2 linked regions of the Macaca mulatta genome follow. The protein of the gene in region 2 purifies or fractionates together with the protein of the main gene of each other region. This does not show direct contact. Links are inferred from orthologs where the notes say so. Each region holds a gene or a part of one and is shown on either strand. Other genes may lie near its edges.

Region 1 (9,119 bases), on a different chromosome or scaffold from region 2:
ACACGTCGCAAATTCCTCAAGCTTATTTTACCTGAATCATCATCATCAAATAGTTTAAATGCCTTGAGTATTTCTTCATGGGGATCTCTTTCCAATATCCAGTCTGTCACTACAATTTAAAAATATATATATTTTAATAAACCTGCATAGTCACAAAGGCATTCATTTGTGATATCAACTAAATATTAGATGAGAATTAAAGCTGTGACTGTCAACATTTAGTCTGACAATAAAATGTCAAATGAGATCCCCAAACCCCGAGATAAACCTGAAATTAGAAAAACCAAATCCATATTTTGAATGTTAACCTTTTTATTATGAGCAACTTGTCTTATTAAAAAAGTAAGCAAAACTATATCACATAGAGGCAAAATTAAAAGACTACATTTATTCCATATTTATTTAAGATCTACTATAATCAAGAATTGTACTAGGCTCCACTGACATCAAGCACACAAGGAGTGTGTCATCTACTTGTGGAGAGACATACCAACAAAATAACTGGAGCTAACTAAATAAAAGCTGCTTGCTAACTAAATGTCATACTAACACTGATTCTTCCTCAAATTTAATCCAACTTCAAAACAAGAAAAACTGCAAAAGACAAAAAGTACTGCCATCGCAGACACAGGCACAATCTCAAGAGAGCAGATGAAAATTCCACTAATACCTTCGTGATTAGAAGAACAGCTTGGTTTTCCAAAATTTAGAAAGTAGTAAATAGGATCAAATCTGACTATAGCAGGAAAGCCCACCCAAAAAAAAACCTCTGGAAAGAAGGTCTCCTTAAAGCTTACCCGTTTTGTTTGGATAAATCACTCTCAGACAACTAACTAAAAATAAATGTAGTTTCAAACCTCAATGGTAATTGTGTATTTTAATACACTAAATATAATCATATATAACAACATAGTAATAAGCTTAAGTATTTTCAATTTTACCAGTCTTCAATCAATAGCCACAATAAAAATTAAAATAAAAATCTGTGGCATAAAAATTGTTAAGTTACTAAATAAAATTCTAACAATATCTAAATAAATATCTCTGAAGTAATTATATACACTACCTGCCACTACAAGAAAAGGTATTTATGGCCTTTACTATGCTATTAAAAATAACTCGGTCCTGTTAAAGGTTACAGAATCATTAAAAAAAAAAAAACAAAAAACTGCTTATAGATGGAAAATACTGGAATGTTTAAAGAACCCAGAATGAAAAAAATACAATCAAAATCTCCAACAAGTTATTGTTTTGTAGCTGTTTCACCTATATTAGGTTCAATAATCACCTATTCAAATGACTATTATATCATCTACACATATTTTCAATAGTTTCCTTTTATCCATTAATTTTATCCAAAAAGGCTGCCAAGTAACTAATTGAAGTATATTACTGTAAGTATGCAAATCATCAAAGCTCATAAATATTCAGTCAAAAAGGAGCTGGCATATCTACAGCCATAACACCAAAATAAAATACCACACTTAACTCTATGGCACATACTCAACTTATTTTGAATTTAGTCCCAACAAAAAAGCAGGACAAGGAAAAAAAGTGTTAAGAAATTTTCTTCACCAATTAAATAATTTACATGACAGGTGAACCAAAAAAGCAGCTTGCTGAAAGTATTAATGTACTTAAAGAAGCAACAGGGTGATTGGGGAACAGATGGGGCTCCAAGATGTATAAATTCTTATCCCACTGGTACTTTAATTGTGTTAGTTATTTCAGAGCTATGTGTCTATATATTCTTTTATCAATATTCTTCCTTAAAATGCAGCTTTTCTTGGGAATTATAAATGCTCATCATTTTGGACAGCAAAAACATTACCTAATATATAACTTTATAATGATTCTCCTCCATGCCTTCATGTTCTATTCTTGTTCCACAAAGTAGAATTTAATTACAAGAAATATATTTATTTTCAATGAAAATATTAGTAAACTGATATAGAGGCAGTTAAGGTGGGTTTCATTTATTTCACAAAACTCCAAATTTCTGTCCATGTAACTGTATTTTCAAATGATTTAATTACACATACTATCAGAAATGTACTTCTTCAAAACACTTTCTTAGACCTTTCATGTGTAAAAATCACTTAAGAATACAGCAAATCCAAAAACATCACATCAAAAGTAAATTAAAAATCATTGTAGGTAATGCTAGAAATACAGCTTTAACTGTATTTCTCAATGTCTTTTGGAAATTTCTATCCAAACACACCAGTGAGACATGTTGGACTCCAAACTCATTCCACTACCACCACAGTAACTGTAGCTGCCTCCTCTACCCCCACCAAAAGACAACAGCAACATTTACAGCCAGATTCCGTATGTGAAAAGTATAAATCATTTTCAGTCCCATAAACTTAATCAGGTCCTATAGTACTGAGAATACTATTTTTTTTATTTTTATTGTTTTGAAACAAGGTCTCGCTCTGTTGCCCAGGCTGGAGTGCAATGGCATGATCCCAGCTTACTGCAGCCTCAACTCCTGGGCTCAAGCAATTTTTCCACCTCAGCCTCCAAAGCAGCTGGGACTACAGGCATGTGCCATCACATCTGGCTAATTTTTTTTTTTTTTTTTTGTAGAGACAGGATCTCACTTTGTTGCCCCGGCTGGTCTCAAACTCCTGTGAGCAAGCAATCCTCCCGCCCTGACCTCCCAAAGTGCTGGGATTACAGGCATGAGCCACCAAGCCTAGCCTCTTTTTTATTCTTAAATGTATTTTCTTTTCACGCTCGCCATCCTCAGCATAAAAAATAGTATTTTCTGTCTGCAGTCTCTCTTCCTTCCAATGCATCATCAATAATACTCTCATCAGTTTTCTTTCTCAAATATATCATATCCTCTTCCCTTAAAAATTGTGAATGATCCTCTGCTAACTAAAATTCAAAATCTTTTAAGTTTCGCAAGACTTTACCAGTCTGGCCCAATCCTACACTTCCAGCTATTTCCCTATCGTCTAGCCCAGAACACTATCTAGTTTCCCAAACATGCTATGCTTCTAGTACCATTCTTTGTTGTTGCTGCTTTCTAAGCCTAGAATGCTTTTTCTCTACTCTTCCTGGCAATCTTGGAATGAAATCCTCCTCACGTTTCCAAAGGCCTAAATTTAAAATCTCCTCTGCAAAGTCTTCAATTCCTCTATATCAGGGATTAACAAATCTTTCCTGTAAAAGGCCAGACAGTAAATACTTTAGGCTTTGTAGAGGGGCATAAAGTCTCTACTCACTCTGCCATAGCAGCACAAAAGCTGCATAAAAGAATGGGTGTGGTGGTGTACAAGCAGCAGCTGAATTTGGTCCAAAGGCTATAATTGCTGACTTCTGTCCTAGACAAAATTACAATTTACCACATAGTACTATAGCCTGTTGTCACCTATATGTACACTGTAAACTCCCTGAAAGAAGAACCTCTTAGTAACTTTTAATTACGTCTTCTTCCCAACCCCAGTACAGTACCTAATACCAAAAAATTCAGTGTTAAATAAGCAAAATGAAGACAATAATACACTATTATAATCTGAATCAGCAATAAGTAGTATATGTCAAAAATAGTGTACAAACGTTTGACTTATGTTGGTGTTAAAGACAGAATTCCTAAAACATCTATGTTACTCACTAGCCTCAGGTTGTCTTGACTCTAAACTTACATTAAATATATTTTAAAGCTTTTTTCCAGTACTAGGAAGAATCTATAATAGTTAACTGCCAAACTTCATCCAGATATATCTGTGGAACAGTATCCTTGAGTAGTTCATAAAACTAGGACTCAAATGTTAAGATTTAGAATCATTTGTCCCAAAGTACAAAACATATTAATCTGTGGTCAGTGATTAGTTAAAAATAATCAACAAAAGGGGAAATACATAGTTCTTGACTGATTCCCAAACAGTAATAAATTTTTATTTTACACCTGGTACTCTCCATAGGTAGCCTTAAGATAGCTAAGATAGGTGTTGACCCTGTCAAAAGGTTAATCTTTGAGTGTCAAAGCTGAAGTTTAGCCACATCTATTTATTCTAAAGGAACCCAGTATTTCTGCTCTGTTAATAACATAGAACAGATAGGGCATCAGGAAAAAGTGGAGGTGGCATGGGATTCTGGTCCCAACTGCCAATAAAAAATCACAATTTCAAAATTGTATTCATTTAAGATGAAATAAAATATTTTGTAAAATTATTAGTGATGATATAGTGTTTACAATAGCCTTTATGAAAAAAAGTCAATAAAAAGTATACACAGAGTCTATTTTATGTCCCAGTGATGCATATATGATTATTTTGAGCCCCTGAAACAGAGACAATTTTTTAAAGTAATAATAATAACAAATGCTTAGTAGCACTTACAACATGCTAGGCCCTTTTCTAGGTACTTTACATGTTATTAACTTAATCCTCAGAAGAATCTCATGAGAGAGTACAATGATCCCCACCTTATAGTTGAAAATGAGGCACAGGGTATTAAAAAGACCAAGTTCCAGAGCTATAAAGTGGCAAAACCAAGGTATGAACCAACAGAATCTGGTTCCAAGTGCTAAACCACTATACTGTACTAAACATACCTGGATTATAGCTCCTTCCTAATAGTATCATTTCCACTGTATCCTAACATCTTGTTTCTACAAATAAACAATCTAAGGTAAAACTAGGAATACTACGATTATAAACTTCAGGAGAGTGTCCATTCTGGGAGAACAAAAGGTGGCTCTCTCCTTCTCCTCAAATAAAAAATTCTACAAATTAGAGGAAAAAAGGAAAATGTCCCCAACAGACAAGTTGCCTCTCTAAACAGTCATATATTAGTTCGTAAGTTGAGTATCTTCTGTGCTGTATTTTTTCTCTTAGGTTTATCATTTATTTTCCATCTCAACTGCTTTTGACTTGAGCGTTTGGATTCAAAAAACTAATGACATGAATCTAAATTTTCTCTGCGTATACTAATTGCCATTTCTTTTTGCTTCCCATATTGCTTCTTGATGAATATTTAAAAGAAGGGGTTTGTGTATATAACAGAATTTGTTTCCAAATATCTTAAAATACTTATATGATGTGCTTATATCGTGACCCATTGGTTTAGGGGGAAAAAAATAGAAATAAACCTGAATATTTATATATTTTGTAGGTAATATCCTAGACAATAGTAACGCCCTTGCCTTCCAGACTCTTCTATTTTGAAAAAGCCTGCTCTATGTATGCTATAAATAATTCACTAAAATCAACTACACAAAAATTTAGCCATATTAAGCCTATGACATATTATCTTCAGTTGGTGGTACCAGGATGTTTTCTCCTGCTTGCAGTATGCCCACTGCCTCCTTTACTACTACCCTCTAAACAGATGACTTTATCCACTAAGATCAAGGTCATCCAGAGGATGTAGCCTCTCATAAACTTTGTCAACCTGAAGTCACGCATTTCATCTACGGCCAAAGATACCAACTACTACCAGTTCCCTCTTCTCCCACTTAGCCAGCAAAAATCACATACCAGAAAGGTCTTGGGAAACATTTTCCAAACAGCAGGATATCAAATTTTCTGTTTTACTGAGCAAAAATAATTTTTTGATCACCCTTCAAGTTTTATCACATAATATAAATACAAATAACTTGGAAAAGCATCTTTCCATAAAAAGCTACACAGTAGTTCCTTGGCTAGAATCTTCACAACAAAACAAAAGACAAAACTATAAATCTCAGAGCAAAGCCATATTTTTTCTTTGAAAATGAAAAAAGTAAAATAACCCAAACAAAACTGAGTAAGAGTCACATTATACACCAGTGTTCTATAAGAAAATTCCATAACCTAGAGAATTTAAAATTTAAAAAGTCATATTAATCAGACAATTTCCTAACAGCTGCTGATTACAAAGACTATTAAAATACACACCAACTTCATTAAAATCTTCAAAGGTGATTTTCCCTGTGGCTTCTCTGTCATAATCTTTAAGAATCTTCAGTACATCAGCTTTTTTTACATCAAACCCCAAGGCTCTCATTGCCACCTTTTGGATTAAAAGGGAAAAGCAAATTATAAAGCAATCTTTACAAAAGAATTTCTAATTATTAAGTTTTTACATCTTAAGAGATAAAAACACATTAGTAAAATATAACTTTTTTGCATGTTTTACCTCTTTAAAATAGCAGTGACAGTGTAATTGTTCTTCACTACTGAAATTATGTATAAGTTTTTTCATTTATAAATTGCATTTTTATATGACAAAGTAACCAACAAGTGTTTACTATATAAAATGCACTAACTTACTGCACAGATAATTTGACTGCTATTTGTTATCACGGGATTAACAACCAAAATGAGAAAAAGGCATAGCATAAATATTAAAGTTATATGATAGAAGAGATAAAACATTAAAATAAGAATTATCATCAGTATCTCCATGATTAGTTATTAGGTTAATAATAGGGCGAAGGACCCTGAGTTTAGACAAAAAAGAGACTTTGTTACTAGTAACAAGGAAGGAAACATGTTACTGACTAGATAAGTCTTATTTGGAAAGATTCAAGTTGTTCCTTGAAGGACAGATGAAGAGGAGCAGTAGGGCATTTGGGAAGGATGACTAGTATTAAAAGAAACACTGAAATGAACAATAGGTTTGAAGGACAACGAACAGAGCAGTTTACCTCACCTGAATTAGAAGAGTTCAGGTGAGATAAACTGCTCACCTGGATTAGAAGGTGAATTCCACGTGAATTAGAAGAGTTTGGGAGGAAGAAAGCAGTTAGCAAATGAAAAAAGTAGTTGGTGGCAAAAGTGTAGAGAACATTCAGTAGAAAGCAAAGGAATCTGAACTTTAAGTAGTATATAATGAGGAGTTATTAATAGTAAAGGCTTATGAGCAACGAACAATTTATAAGCAATGGTGAAAGATTTTTTAAACTATCTAAATTCAGTGGTAGTAGTATACAAGGTGAACTACAAGTAGACAAACCATTTAGGAAGCTCCAGGTATGAAATAAGGTCTGAAACCAGTCAATGGTTACTAATGGAAGAGACACTATAAAGGAAGAATTGATCAAATCTGGGTAACCAAAACCAAAAAACAAAAACAAAAAACAGTGGGAAAAGAGAGCTAAAGAGGACTGCAAGATTGAGAAAGCTAGACTTACAGGCCTATTAATTGTTTTTATACATTCTATACTGTTACTGCATAGTTCGTATCCCTACTTGGAATTCTAATGCTTAAAAATCCCTTAAGAAATTACAAAAATTAAAACTATCAAATAAACACTTACATTCACCTATCCATTAAGGCTATTAAAAATCTCAAAATACTATCTTTCCCACTGTGCTGAAAGTAAGTCCCATTCTACCCTAAACCCAAATCTCTCCTTATACCCTGACAAATAATAATTTACAAATCCCTCTCTACACCTTGACATTCTAGGTCTTAAAGTTGACATTTTTACCTACAAGCATGTGTCAACATCAAACAGCACTGAAGTTGTTTGTACCACAGAAAGTGGATTGAGACTATGTTACTAACAAATACAAATTATAAGATTAAAAGACAACAATCCCACAATCTGAAAACAGTATGAGTCACCAAGAAACAAAAACAAAAACAAAAAAAACAGTGAAAAGAATATGGTAATAGTTTAAATTCCAGTTTGAAATCCTTTAATTATGTCAGTGAAAAATAAGCACCTTCCCTAGGAATGTATTGTTACATTTAAAATGCTATTCGTTTTATCACGTGAAAAAGATTTTCTAAAAACTGTGTTAGGAGTTCTATTCAGTATTATTATAGAATCTAACTATGAATGCTTAAAATGCCTTCATAGTTCCAAAACCAATTTAGTTAAAATAATTACTTAGAAATGTAATGTAAAGCAACTGTCAAAATGCAAATCATTTTAACACAGAAACAAGTATTTTAAAGTATACCATTACCTTTAATTCATGATAATCTATTGCTTCATCTTTGTCTGTATCAAATAGTTCAAAAGCATCTTTAATTTCTTGTTTCTGTTCCTCAGACAGTTCTCTTCTTTTTTTCCTCTTTGTTTTGTCTACTACAAGCTCACTTCTATGAAATGGAAAGAAAAAGCCCTTAGTCCACTTTAATTCTCTTTACTAACAGAAATTAGCCAATAATTATTTTCTAAATTTCAAAAAAGAAAGTACTTTGGAGAAAGACAGGGAAACTTTCCCTTTATGAGTCAATGCCCTGTTTATTCCATAGTCTAAATTGCTATAAATATGAACTTCCCAAAACTAAAGAGTGTTACAGATTATTAAAAGAAATGAGGACCAAACTTTTCCTTTTCCCAGCTTTTTATTTATTCCCACTTTCCCTAACTTTTTATTTATTCAAGAACTGTGAATAAGCAACATTACTTTTATGTCTGAAACTCCAACCAACTCCAACCAAAAAAAAACAAAAACACTCACATTATTCTACAAGAATGTTAAAGAAACCAAAAAATCTCCAAATGAAACCAAAATTCGTAACTGACAATCACCATATATCGGTTTACTTTTGATAGTTCTGATAATTAAGTTCATAAAATTACTACAAAAAATACAACTGGATTAACTTATATTTTGGGACTGTTGGTTCAAAATGTTTTTAGATTACACGTTTCTAACAGTTTGGCAATTTATGTGTCATTTCCTCCACTGATATTAACAAATCACCCAAAATATTAATGAGTCTAAACATATGACAAATATTAGATGTCAAAAAAGTATACAATATTTGTGCTTCATAAGTCTTGTCTCACTTAAGATGTAAACTGGAGGTTAAACTTCTCATAAACTCTGGAAACGCTTAAAGAAAAAAGCAAAAATTACTTTAAAGCCAGAAATGTTTTCCGTAAGAGCTGCCCATCTAAATGTGCTCCAAGTTTTCCAATGGAGCCGCAACACTGGTATAAGAACAAGTTTTGAAACACACAATCTGGTAACACATTAACATGTCAAAACCAGTTGACTGTATTTAAAACACGTATCTAGCTGCATTTGAAAGTCGTTTTGGTCTCTGAACGCTACAAAAAAAAAAAAAAAAAAAAAGGCTAGGAAGTGACCAGTAGATGCAGTATGACAAAGCTGAGGAAGATCTTCCTTTCATGAGACCTGACTTGACACAAACTTGGG
Region 2 (9,893 bases):
TTTGTGTAGTAGAAAGAACACTGGACCAGGAGTCAGAAGACCTGGGTTCTCCTGCTTTTGCCACTGTCTGGCTGTGGAAGCATGAACAAATCACTTTCTGCACACTGTCACCATTCTTATCTGTAAAGTTTCCAGTTCTTACAGGTCTGAGTTGTACCTAGAAGAGCTTAAAGATCCAATCTTCCATGGACCCCAGTGACAAGTAAGAATAGAGGTTTTCATTACTCACAATTCTCTGATGAGAAAAATCAAGACCCGAGACAAAGCTTTGCAGGCATCTCACCTGAAGTCATCCCCATCGCTGAGGGCTTCATCCTTTATAACCTTGAGGTTTTCAGATTTAACAGTCACCTTGGCCACTTTCTTTTTTGCTGGACCACCTGCTGAACCCCCAGGATCACTGCAGCCTCTCTTCCTCTTTCCTTGTGAAACTCTGGAGACAAGGCTCTTCTTTGGGGGTTTCTCATCTTCAAAGGCATCTAGGTGACCATACAGAACATGAGGTGAGGGGTGGAAGGAAAGGTGGAGGCAGAGCAGCTTATGGGCAAGGGCATGAAAAGGCTCTATGATCTGTCTCCAAACCCGATCTCCATCACCTGTTCACCATCCCGTCTGGTCAGCAACCAGCTCTCAGCCTCTACCCACCTGCGGCTAGTCTATGTTTATAGTAAAAACCATTCTCCTTTATCAGCACTTTACTTCTCCTATGACTACAGAAAATACCACAGGAGTCAAATAAAACCTAACTTCCAGATCTTAAATGTCAGCCAGGAAAATACAACATCCTGGAAAGGAAAATACAACACAATTCCTGCCAAGAAAATACAACATCCATTAATTAGCACCCTATTTATTTATCATCTGCCAAGACTAATTGTTTGTCTTAGGGATAATGCACTCCTCTTAAGTAAAATGTTAAGTACATAAACATTTCCAAGTTTTACCACAACATCATTACTATTAATCTACATTTCTGCCAACCTTCAAGACCAAACTGCTCAAAACACATACTGCTCTGAAACCTTTCCAATGTAACCCAAATGGCTATCGTATACTAACCACCTCAGCAAACTTACAGTTGAAAAAAGACAGCAATAATTCAAAAGTATTTTCTTAAAATAATTATTTTTTGTTAAAGGGAAATAAAAAATGCATAAGCTGCTGGTTTTAGTCAAATTGGGGTATCTAAAATTATGGTTTATTTACATATAATAATTATATTAATAGATTAGTTTTAATAAATAACAATATGGCAGGGAAGGATAGTTTTCTATTTTGCAAATATATTCACACAAATGATCTTGAATCCGAAATAAATCCTCTTTTGTCTTTGCATGACTCTGCTTCAATTAATTTTAGAAAATAAAAATACTTTTTATTGAGGTTCCATAAGGGATTGCAACGTTAACCTAAAATATAAAATTATTTAATAATTCAGTCTTTTCATTGTTTGCCTTGCTGACTCTCTGGATAGGTATTTATATTCCACAAGAATATAAATTTTTGCATGAGGGAAAAAAGACTCTCCCTCTGATCTAGATGAAATCATTATTAAATGTTAATAAAATTCATATCAAAGGAGCATTTCTTTTAATGCTAGATAAATCACTGATTCCGTTGTTTCTTTAAATGTTTTATGAAAAAGGAATTTATGTATTCCCATTTTTAAACATTTTAGTGGAAACCAAAAAATAAGGAAAAATTTTGAAGTGCAAAGTATTTCAAAATTAATTTTTTCAAATCTGAGAACAAACTGCCGATTCCAAGGCCAGAGGCTGCATAAAGCTTAAGATTTGACAGTTTGAGGAGGGTGCCCTAAAATTAAGATTTCTGGATCTTACAATGGTATTTAGCCCTCTAATAGGCAAAGATGCAAAATACTTCACTTTCTACTAATCTAAAAAAAATGCAGGTAGGAGGATACTTCAGAGGCATCACAAACTTTTCTGGTTGGTTAAAAAGCATAGCTTTTATTTCTGTGTTTGAAGAGAAAGGTAGAGGAGTTAAAAAGGAAAGGGGGGAAAAAGGAAACACAAAACTCTGAATCAAAAGGATGTTCATAGTATTCAAAAGCATCTAACAATAATCTGAACATACAACCACGAGATAATTGTTAAGTAACTTAGGGCAGAGCCACACAACAAAATATAATTGAGTCATCCTTTAAGATAAAGAAAAACGATAGATGATGTAATGTTAATCATGCAAAGTTGATTTTACAGCATGCTTTCTGCTATGTAAAAAACAGACTAGAAGGAAACAGACCATTATTTCATGGTGGCTATTTCTGGATGGCAGAAATATGGGTGACTTTCTATTCTTTGCTATTCTTTGGTCCCTAAGCACCTAGAGACTCTTTTCCAGGACTCTCCAAAATCTTGAGTGATCTAATATGCCTAACCAGCCTCCTCGAGCTCAGCGTTCTTTCAGTAGGGCAGGAATTACCACTGTGGTCTGCTTGCCCATCTACTGGGATGTAATAAGAACACCAGAGTAAACCTTCTAGCAGCAACTCACAGCACTCAGAATAAAATTCCAACTCCTTAGCTTGGTATCCAAGCTCAGGCCCCTGCCCACTTCTCCTACCCAGCCCCTCACTCACTGTGTCCAGCCAACTGGCCAAGTTCATTCCCTCCTAAGAGTGTTTAAACACTGTCCTCTCTGCCTAGAACTCTTTTCCCCAGAACTTCCTATGAATGGCTCAAAATTACACTAACTGCCTCAAAATGCCATCTCCTTACAAAGGCCTTCCCTGACACTGATTCCCATTTAGCTGCCCCTTCCCAGCCCCATTTAAATTTGAGGGTTTTTTTTTCCCCCATCTATAGAAGCATTTTCTGCTATGTACCCAAGTAAGTTTTATCACAGCAGTCTTAACACAGGGTGATAGCTCTTACCATTATGTGAATCTGTTTTTTTTTTAACTTGTTATCTGTTCTACTTACCCCTCCCCACAGATTATAATCATGAGAGCAGGTGCCTCACCTGTCTTGTTCACCACTATTATCCTAGTACCTGGAACAGTGCCTGAAAATAGTAGGCGCTCAATAAACAGCTGTTGAAGGAGTTAACGGATTATCACCGAAGGTGTTAACATAGAGAAGAAATGCAAAGAAACCAGAGGTGCTTTAGTAACACAAAGGAAATCATGTGGAAGCCTGTTTTCTTTTTTCCTATTTGTCGAAAGCAGCCAAGTATCACCTTCATTTGCATGTACAGGGGTGCTGTTAAAACCTACACTATTACAGTGTTAGAAACTACACTGACAGTCACCAAATTATTGTCACCTGCAGCCCAAACCACACTTGCTAAGTCTATGCTTCCCCAACAAACCACCAAACCACAACAAAAGTTGTAACTCTGCAGATTGGAAGCTGCCTTGGGAACTGACTGCTACCTCCTCTGGCTAGCAGAGTAAACTTGGGTGCATCCTTACCTCCATTTAGGCTGAATGACACCAGCTAGCCCAACTAATTACCTAACATGGGTAAAGCTAAAGCTCTTGGCTTTATATGCTATCCCACTGAAAACTTACAGCCACCCTGCAAGGCAGTTATTATAGTTCATAGAAGAAGTTTAGAAGGGCTAAAATACTTGTCCAAAATAATTCACCCAAGTGCATATAACTAAGAATTGAAGCTCTACCAAGCTGGAACCCAGGTGAAGTGTTGAGCTGGGAGGAATGCAGGTAGCATTTCCATCAGATTACAACAATTTTTAATTGCCATATATGCAAATTACATTCTGACTAGAATACCAGCCCCTTTTTTGTGACCCCTTGCTAAAATAGCAACCATCCTTTAAATCACAGATCAAACAACTTCAGAAAGCGTTCCCCGATCATGCTAGTCAAACTTGATTAATCCTTTGGAAGCTACAAAGCCTTGTACCTTCTTCCACAGTATTTAGCACACTCTGCCTTGCATGTCTTACATGCAAATGTCATGTCAACACTACTCTATGATCCTCCAAGATACGCTTATCTCCCATGTCACCTCATTCATGTGCAGCACATAGTACTCAAAATATGTTTTTTGAATGAACGAGTAAATGAATAAAATGGAACCCGAAATACTACATATGAGGTAAATCACCTTCTAAGTTTAGGAATTATTACCATTTGACTATTTTCTAATGGATGATGAACTTATAATCGGTATAGAAACACAGAATCGAGTGTGATAGCCTTTGCTGGTTACCTAATCTACCCAGTTATTTCAGGAGACCCAGAAATTCCTTCTACAGCCTGCATTTTGCAATTATTTAAAATATTTATTGGCCAGGCACAGTGGCTCATGCCTATAATCCCAGCACTTTGGCAGGCCGAGGCGAATGGATCACCTGAGGTCAGGAGTTAGAGACCAGACTGGCCAACATGGCGAAACCCCATCTCTCCTAAAATACAAAAATTAGCCGGGCATGGTGGCAGTCACCTGTAATACCAGCTACTCAGGAGGCTGAGGCAGGAGAATCGCTTGAACCTGGGAGGCAGAGGTCATGCCATTGCACTCCAGCCTCAGCGACAGAGTGAGACTCCATCTCGAAAAAAATAAAAAATAAAAAATATTTATTTAGCACTTAGCCCTACCAATCGACGGGCCCCGCATCCACAGATTCAACCAACCACAGATGAATATATTTCGGGAAAAATAAAACCCACAAATTTTAAAACTATAGTATGACAACTATTTCCATAGCATCTACATTGTATTAGATATTACAAGTGATCTAGAGATGATTTAAAGTATGTCGGAGTATGCGCATAGGTTACATGGAAACACTAGGCCATTTGATACAAGGTACTTGAGCATCACAGGTTTTAGTATCCACGGGGTATCTGGGAAGGACTACCTTAGTTTGCTCAAGGAATGTCTGACTTGAGATTTGAAGAAATCATACCTGGCAAAAGCCATGGTGGGGGGTCACTCTAGGCCGAAGGAATATCAAAGGAAAAGGCTCAAGAAATAACTTGGCATATTTGAGGAAGAGAAAGGAGGCCAATGAGGAGGGTATCTGGCAAGGAAACAAGTGGTAGGAGAAACAGGAGAGGTAGCAAGAGCCAAAACACGTAGCATCTTGCAGGCCAGGATAAGACAACTGGATTTTAAACTAAGAGCAATGGAAAACCAAGGAGAGTTTAAAGCAGGAGCATGGCATGATTTTTTTTTTTTTTTTTAAAGATTATTTGCGTTGCTGGATGCAGAGCTGGGAGGCCAGTCAAGAGGAAACTGCAGTCACTCAACTGAAAGGTGATGGTGACTTGGACAGGGGTTGTGGCCATGGAAATGAAGAGAAGTGGACAAATTTGAAATACAGTCTGAGGCTGAACTGACTGGACTTGCTGACGGGACTGGATGTGTGCACATAAGAAAAAGGTGGACTTTGTTTTATAACAAGTATTGGGACTGGAAAAACGGAGGAAAGCATAGATTTGAAGGGGAAGACCATGAGCTCTGCACTGTCCACGACAAATGTAAGAAGCCTATCCAATATCCACGAGGGGAAGTCAGGTGGGATCCCACTGTGGAACTCTGGGCGAGACTCAGCTGAAGTTATCATTCGGGAGTCAGCACACTGCATCACTCTACGTCCTGGTCCGTCCGTCCGTTTTCCTGGGACACAAATAACTGCCTTCTCCGCGTTCAACCCTGAACATCTGCGCTGTATCCTCTGGACAACGGGGAGCGGGAAAGAAGCTACGCAGGAGCTTGGGTCGGGCGAGGCTCACGGGAAGCCGCTCTGGGTGCAGAGGACAAAGGCGCAGGGACAGCGGGGAGGGCCGGCCGCGGCCTGCCGTGCTGCCCCCACTGCGCGGAACGCGCGCAGCAACCTCCTCCCGGCCTCCGCGTCTGGACTCCCGCCGCCCCTGCCTCTGGGCCTCCTCCGCCCACCGGCAGAGTCTCCCGCGAAGCCCGCTGGGCCACGCTCTCACCCTCCTCCTCCTCACGCCGGGTCTTGCTCTTGGCCTTGGACTTCTGGCTGCGCGTTTCGCGTCCCCGCGGCTCCCCGCCGGCCGCGCGCTTCCGAGCCATATTGCTTGTCGGGGAAAAATCCACTTCGCGAGTGACGCACCAGGCCGCGATGCGTTAGAACGCAGGCCCCGCCCCGAGGCGGGCGCGTCTGGCCACGCCCCTTCGTTGGAGGCCTAGTCACGCCCCCAAAGGAAGCTCCGCCCCATACCCGTGGCCACTAAAAAACCGCGGGAAGCAGGCAAGAGCACAGCAGGTTTCTATTTCCGGTGTATTGTAGCATCACGTTTCCGGAGCTCGGCGTTGCTCTTGTGTTCTCGCGAGAGGCGGGAAAGGGCGCAGGGTTTGAAACATGGCGGACGACGTAGACCAGGTGAGTGAATTTTAAGGCGGTGGCTCGGCGCCGCTTCTTGTACTAAACTGCTTTTTCCAAACGCAGGAAAAATGGCCAGTCGCGCCTCTTCTTTCCAAGTCACACGGCCTAATCCGCCCCATCCTTTCCGTAAACACCCCTGTCCGAATTTTGCTGCAGGCCCTGAGGTCTTTTCCGTTAGAAGGCCACCTGATGACTATTCATCACACTCTTCGCTTTGTTTTTTTAAATCTGTAAATTATTATGCGTGCCTACCTCACGGAGCTGTCAGGATTCCAATAGAAAGCCAGATAATAAAGTTAGGAGTTGTTATTACTGAGCACAACAATTATTTACTCATTCAGCAGAGAGAGTGAACATCAGCTTTGTATGGTTAGACACTGTTCTAAGAGCCAGGGACACTGACATCGATATATAAGTGATCCTTGCCATGACTTGGAGCTTATATTCGCGAGGAGAACAGATAAATATAAATATGTAAGATTTATAGGAACTGTGATGTGCTATGAAGGAAACAAGGAACTGGTATGCAGAATAACAGATGGTCCTAGAAGCTTTTTCACCTGGTCTTTTTCTTCCTCAAATATCTTTGGAGATCATGCTACAACTTAAACTTTCTACTGAAATCTCACCTCCTCAGAGAGGACTTCTGCCCAAATAGCACTCCCCCTACTCTGCTTACCCTGCCTCATTTTTCTTCATAGAACGTTATTTTTTCATATTAAATGTATGCATCTTTGTTTAATGTGTATCTCTCCTGACTAGAATGTAAGTGCCATAACAGTAGGCATTTTGTTTTGTTCATTCTTTTGTCCTTGGGGTTTAGAACAGTGCTGGAAATACTCAACAAATATTTGAGTGAATGAGTTAGATGATCAGAGGAGGCCTCTTTTAAAAGCCAATGTATAAAGCTACAGGATGAAAAAGAACAGAAAGTGGGCATCCCAGACAGAGGCTTAGGTAGCAGTAGAGCTCTGTCATGTGCATATTCTTACAGTATTATAATTATTCATATGCCTATCCACATTAGAATGAGCTCCTTGAGGGTGGAGATTGTGACTTCTGTATCATTGTAATCTAACAGTTGGTTATCTGATCCTTTAACAAACACCTGTTGAACTGAGGGACATAGGGACCAGTTGAGTTAGGTTATTTTTTTTTCTCTCATCGGGCCTTTTGAATCTTTAGCGCCTGTTACGAATTCAGTTACCTTCCTCCACTGGCCTTGTGTACTTACTAAAGAAGCTCTCCTTGAATCATCTAACTCTTTAATGGCTGCAACCCTCCCTTCCATGTGGGTGACCCCAAGTCATCCTAGCCCTGACCTCTAAAACCAGTGTTTCCAGCAGTTCTTTAATAATATAATATTAGTAGGAATCTTTTCTTTTCTTTTTTTTTTTTTGGATGGAGTCTCACTCTATCGCCCAGGCTGGAGTGCAGTGGCGTGATCTCAGTTCACTGCAACCTCTGCCTCCTGGTTCAAGCGATTCTCCTGTCTCAGCCTCCCAAGTAGCTGGGACTACAGGCACGTGCCAGCACGCCTGGCTAATTTTTGTATTTTTAGTAGAGACGGGGTTCACCATGTTGGCCAGGCTGGTCTCAAACTCCTAACCTCAGGTGATCTGCCTTTCTCAGCCTCCCAAAGTGCTGGAATTCAGGCCTGAGCCACCACGCCCAGCCAAAAGGAACCGTTTCTAAGTATTAATATTTTCTGCTTTCCTGGCACTGTTTTAAATGCATTAACTAGTTTCATCCTCATAAGAATCCAGAAGGAAGGTTGTGGCTTTCTCAATTACAAATGAAGAATCTGAGAATTACAGATGGCATGATTTTTAATCTCAGTTCATAAGTGTCAGGTCACAGCCAGGAGTTGAACCCAGACTGCCTGACTCCAAAGTCAGTGCTTGCTTGCTTGTTGGCACCATCTTGGCTCACTGCAACCTCCACCTCCCAGGCTCAGGCAATCCTCCCACCTCAGCCTCGGAGTAGCTGGGACTACAGGCACATGCCACCATGCCCGGCTAAGCCAGTGCTTTGAACCAGTGTTCTATTCTGGCTACTAAATATTCATCTTACTGGCCAGTTGGCAGCCTAACCTCAACCTGTGCTGAATTCATAATCTTCCCATAAACCTACACCTCTACTTGGCATTCTGACTAGTATATGGTAGGCATTAAGTGAGTGTTTTTCCTATGATTACATAATATTTGAGATAAAGCTAAAGTTCCTAAGACCCTATACCCTGAAATCGGGTCAGGCAGTTTGGATTTTGAGGGAACAAAGTATAGTCATGATTATTTTGCTGTGTAACTCCTTCTTATGTATGCGTGTTTTAATCTACATTTATATAGCACATACTATGTGAAAAGTTCTGTTCTAAGCCTTCATATATGTCACTTAAGCCTCATAAAAACAGTATTAGGTAGACACTATTATCTCCATTTTACAGATTAGGAGACTGAGGCAGAAAAAGGTTAAATAACTTGCACATGGTCATACAGCATAGCAGTGATTTAAGCACTACTTTATCTCTAGTACTATATTACTAAACCTGTTTCTGTTATCAGCAACAAACTACCAACACTGTAGAGGAGCCCCTGGATCTTATCAGGCTCAGCCTAGATGAGCGAATTTATGTGAAGATGAGAAATGACCGAGAGCTTCGAGGCAGATTACATGTGAGTAAATTTATCAAGTTACCTTGAAATCAGATTCCTTCCCACCCCCACTCCCTTGAAATGTAAAACCTGTCCAGAGTGAAAAGGTATTTTGAAGGAAGAGAGGGTAGTGGAAAATCACCCATGTTTCCATAAGCCAGATGAAGCTGCATGTATTCACATTTTTAATATTTTTTCTTTTAATAGAAATATGTTTATTATAGAACATTTTTATTCCCTTCATTTTCCCTTCTGTTTATTTGTAAATAACATTTATTTGTCCTCCATTCTTAAATGTTTTTTAAACTTAAAACACAAATATGTGTTTTATTATGAAAAGTTAAACAGCACAAAAATATATAGAGTAAAAAGTGAAATCCCATTTCCTCTACTGGTAACCACTATTAAAAATTGGATTATCTTGGCCGGGTGCAGTGGCTCATCCCTGTAATCTCAGCACTTTGGGAGGCTGGGGCAGGAGGATCACTTGAGGCCAGGAGTTCTCTGTGTTGCCCGCCTAGGCAACATAGAGAGATCCTGTCTCTACAAAAAATAAAAATTAAAAAATTAAAAATTGGGTTACTGTTTCTGTATGTTTACACACATACATTCATATATGTACATATGCACATACTTGCACTATGTACACCCTACCTCTACAAAACATGGATCCTGCTATACACGTTTTTCAGCACCTTTTTTTTTTTCACTTAATCTTTCTTCGAGATTATTGATCATTAGTGCATTTAATTCTCATTTGTTCTTTTTAATGACTACCTAGGATTCTGTATATGATAGTGATCGATTTTTTTTTCATTTCTTGCTACAAATACTTACATAAATACTTGCAGTAAGCATTTTTTTTTACATATTTATTTGTGCATATCTGCAAAA

What was found.
Region 1: the proteins of XPC (region 2) and CETN3 purify together in Homo sapiens (affinity purification with mass spectrometry; 4 studies listed by BioGRID and IntAct, counting the BioPlex papers as one, with this or other methods). This does not show direct contact. The link is inferred for Macaca mulatta from reciprocal best matches to the Homo sapiens genes XPC and CETN3.

What each region holds. Positions count from the first base shown.
Region 1 is NC_133411.1:96,785,025-96,794,143, forward strand, and holds part of CETN3 (centrin-3), read right to left. Parts: intron 8,050-9,119; coding exon 7,914-8,049; intron 6,007-7,913; coding exon 5,892-6,006; intron 110-5,891; coding exon 1-109. UniProt on the Homo sapiens protein: Plays a fundamental role in microtubule-organizing center structure and function. As a component of the TREX-2 complex, involved in the export of mRNAs to the cytoplasm through the nuclear pores.
Region 2 is NC_133407.1:152,975,587-152,985,479, forward strand, and holds the start of XPC (DNA repair protein complementing XP-C cells), read right to left. Parts: upstream 6,066-9,893; 5' UTR 6,033-6,065; coding exon 5,933-6,032; intron 4,098-5,932; coding exon of another isoform or gene 4,095-4,097; intron 1,858-4,094; coding exon of another isoform or gene 1,855-1,857; intron 480-1,854; coding exon 284-479; intron 1-283. Other genes in the region: U6 snRNA-associated Sm-like protein LSm3, read left to right, coding at 6,322-6,342, 8,910-9,020. UniProt on the Homo sapiens protein: Involved in global genome nucleotide excision repair (GG-NER) by acting as damage sensing and DNA-binding factor component of the XPC complex. Has only a low DNA repair activity by itself which is stimulated by RAD23B and RAD23A.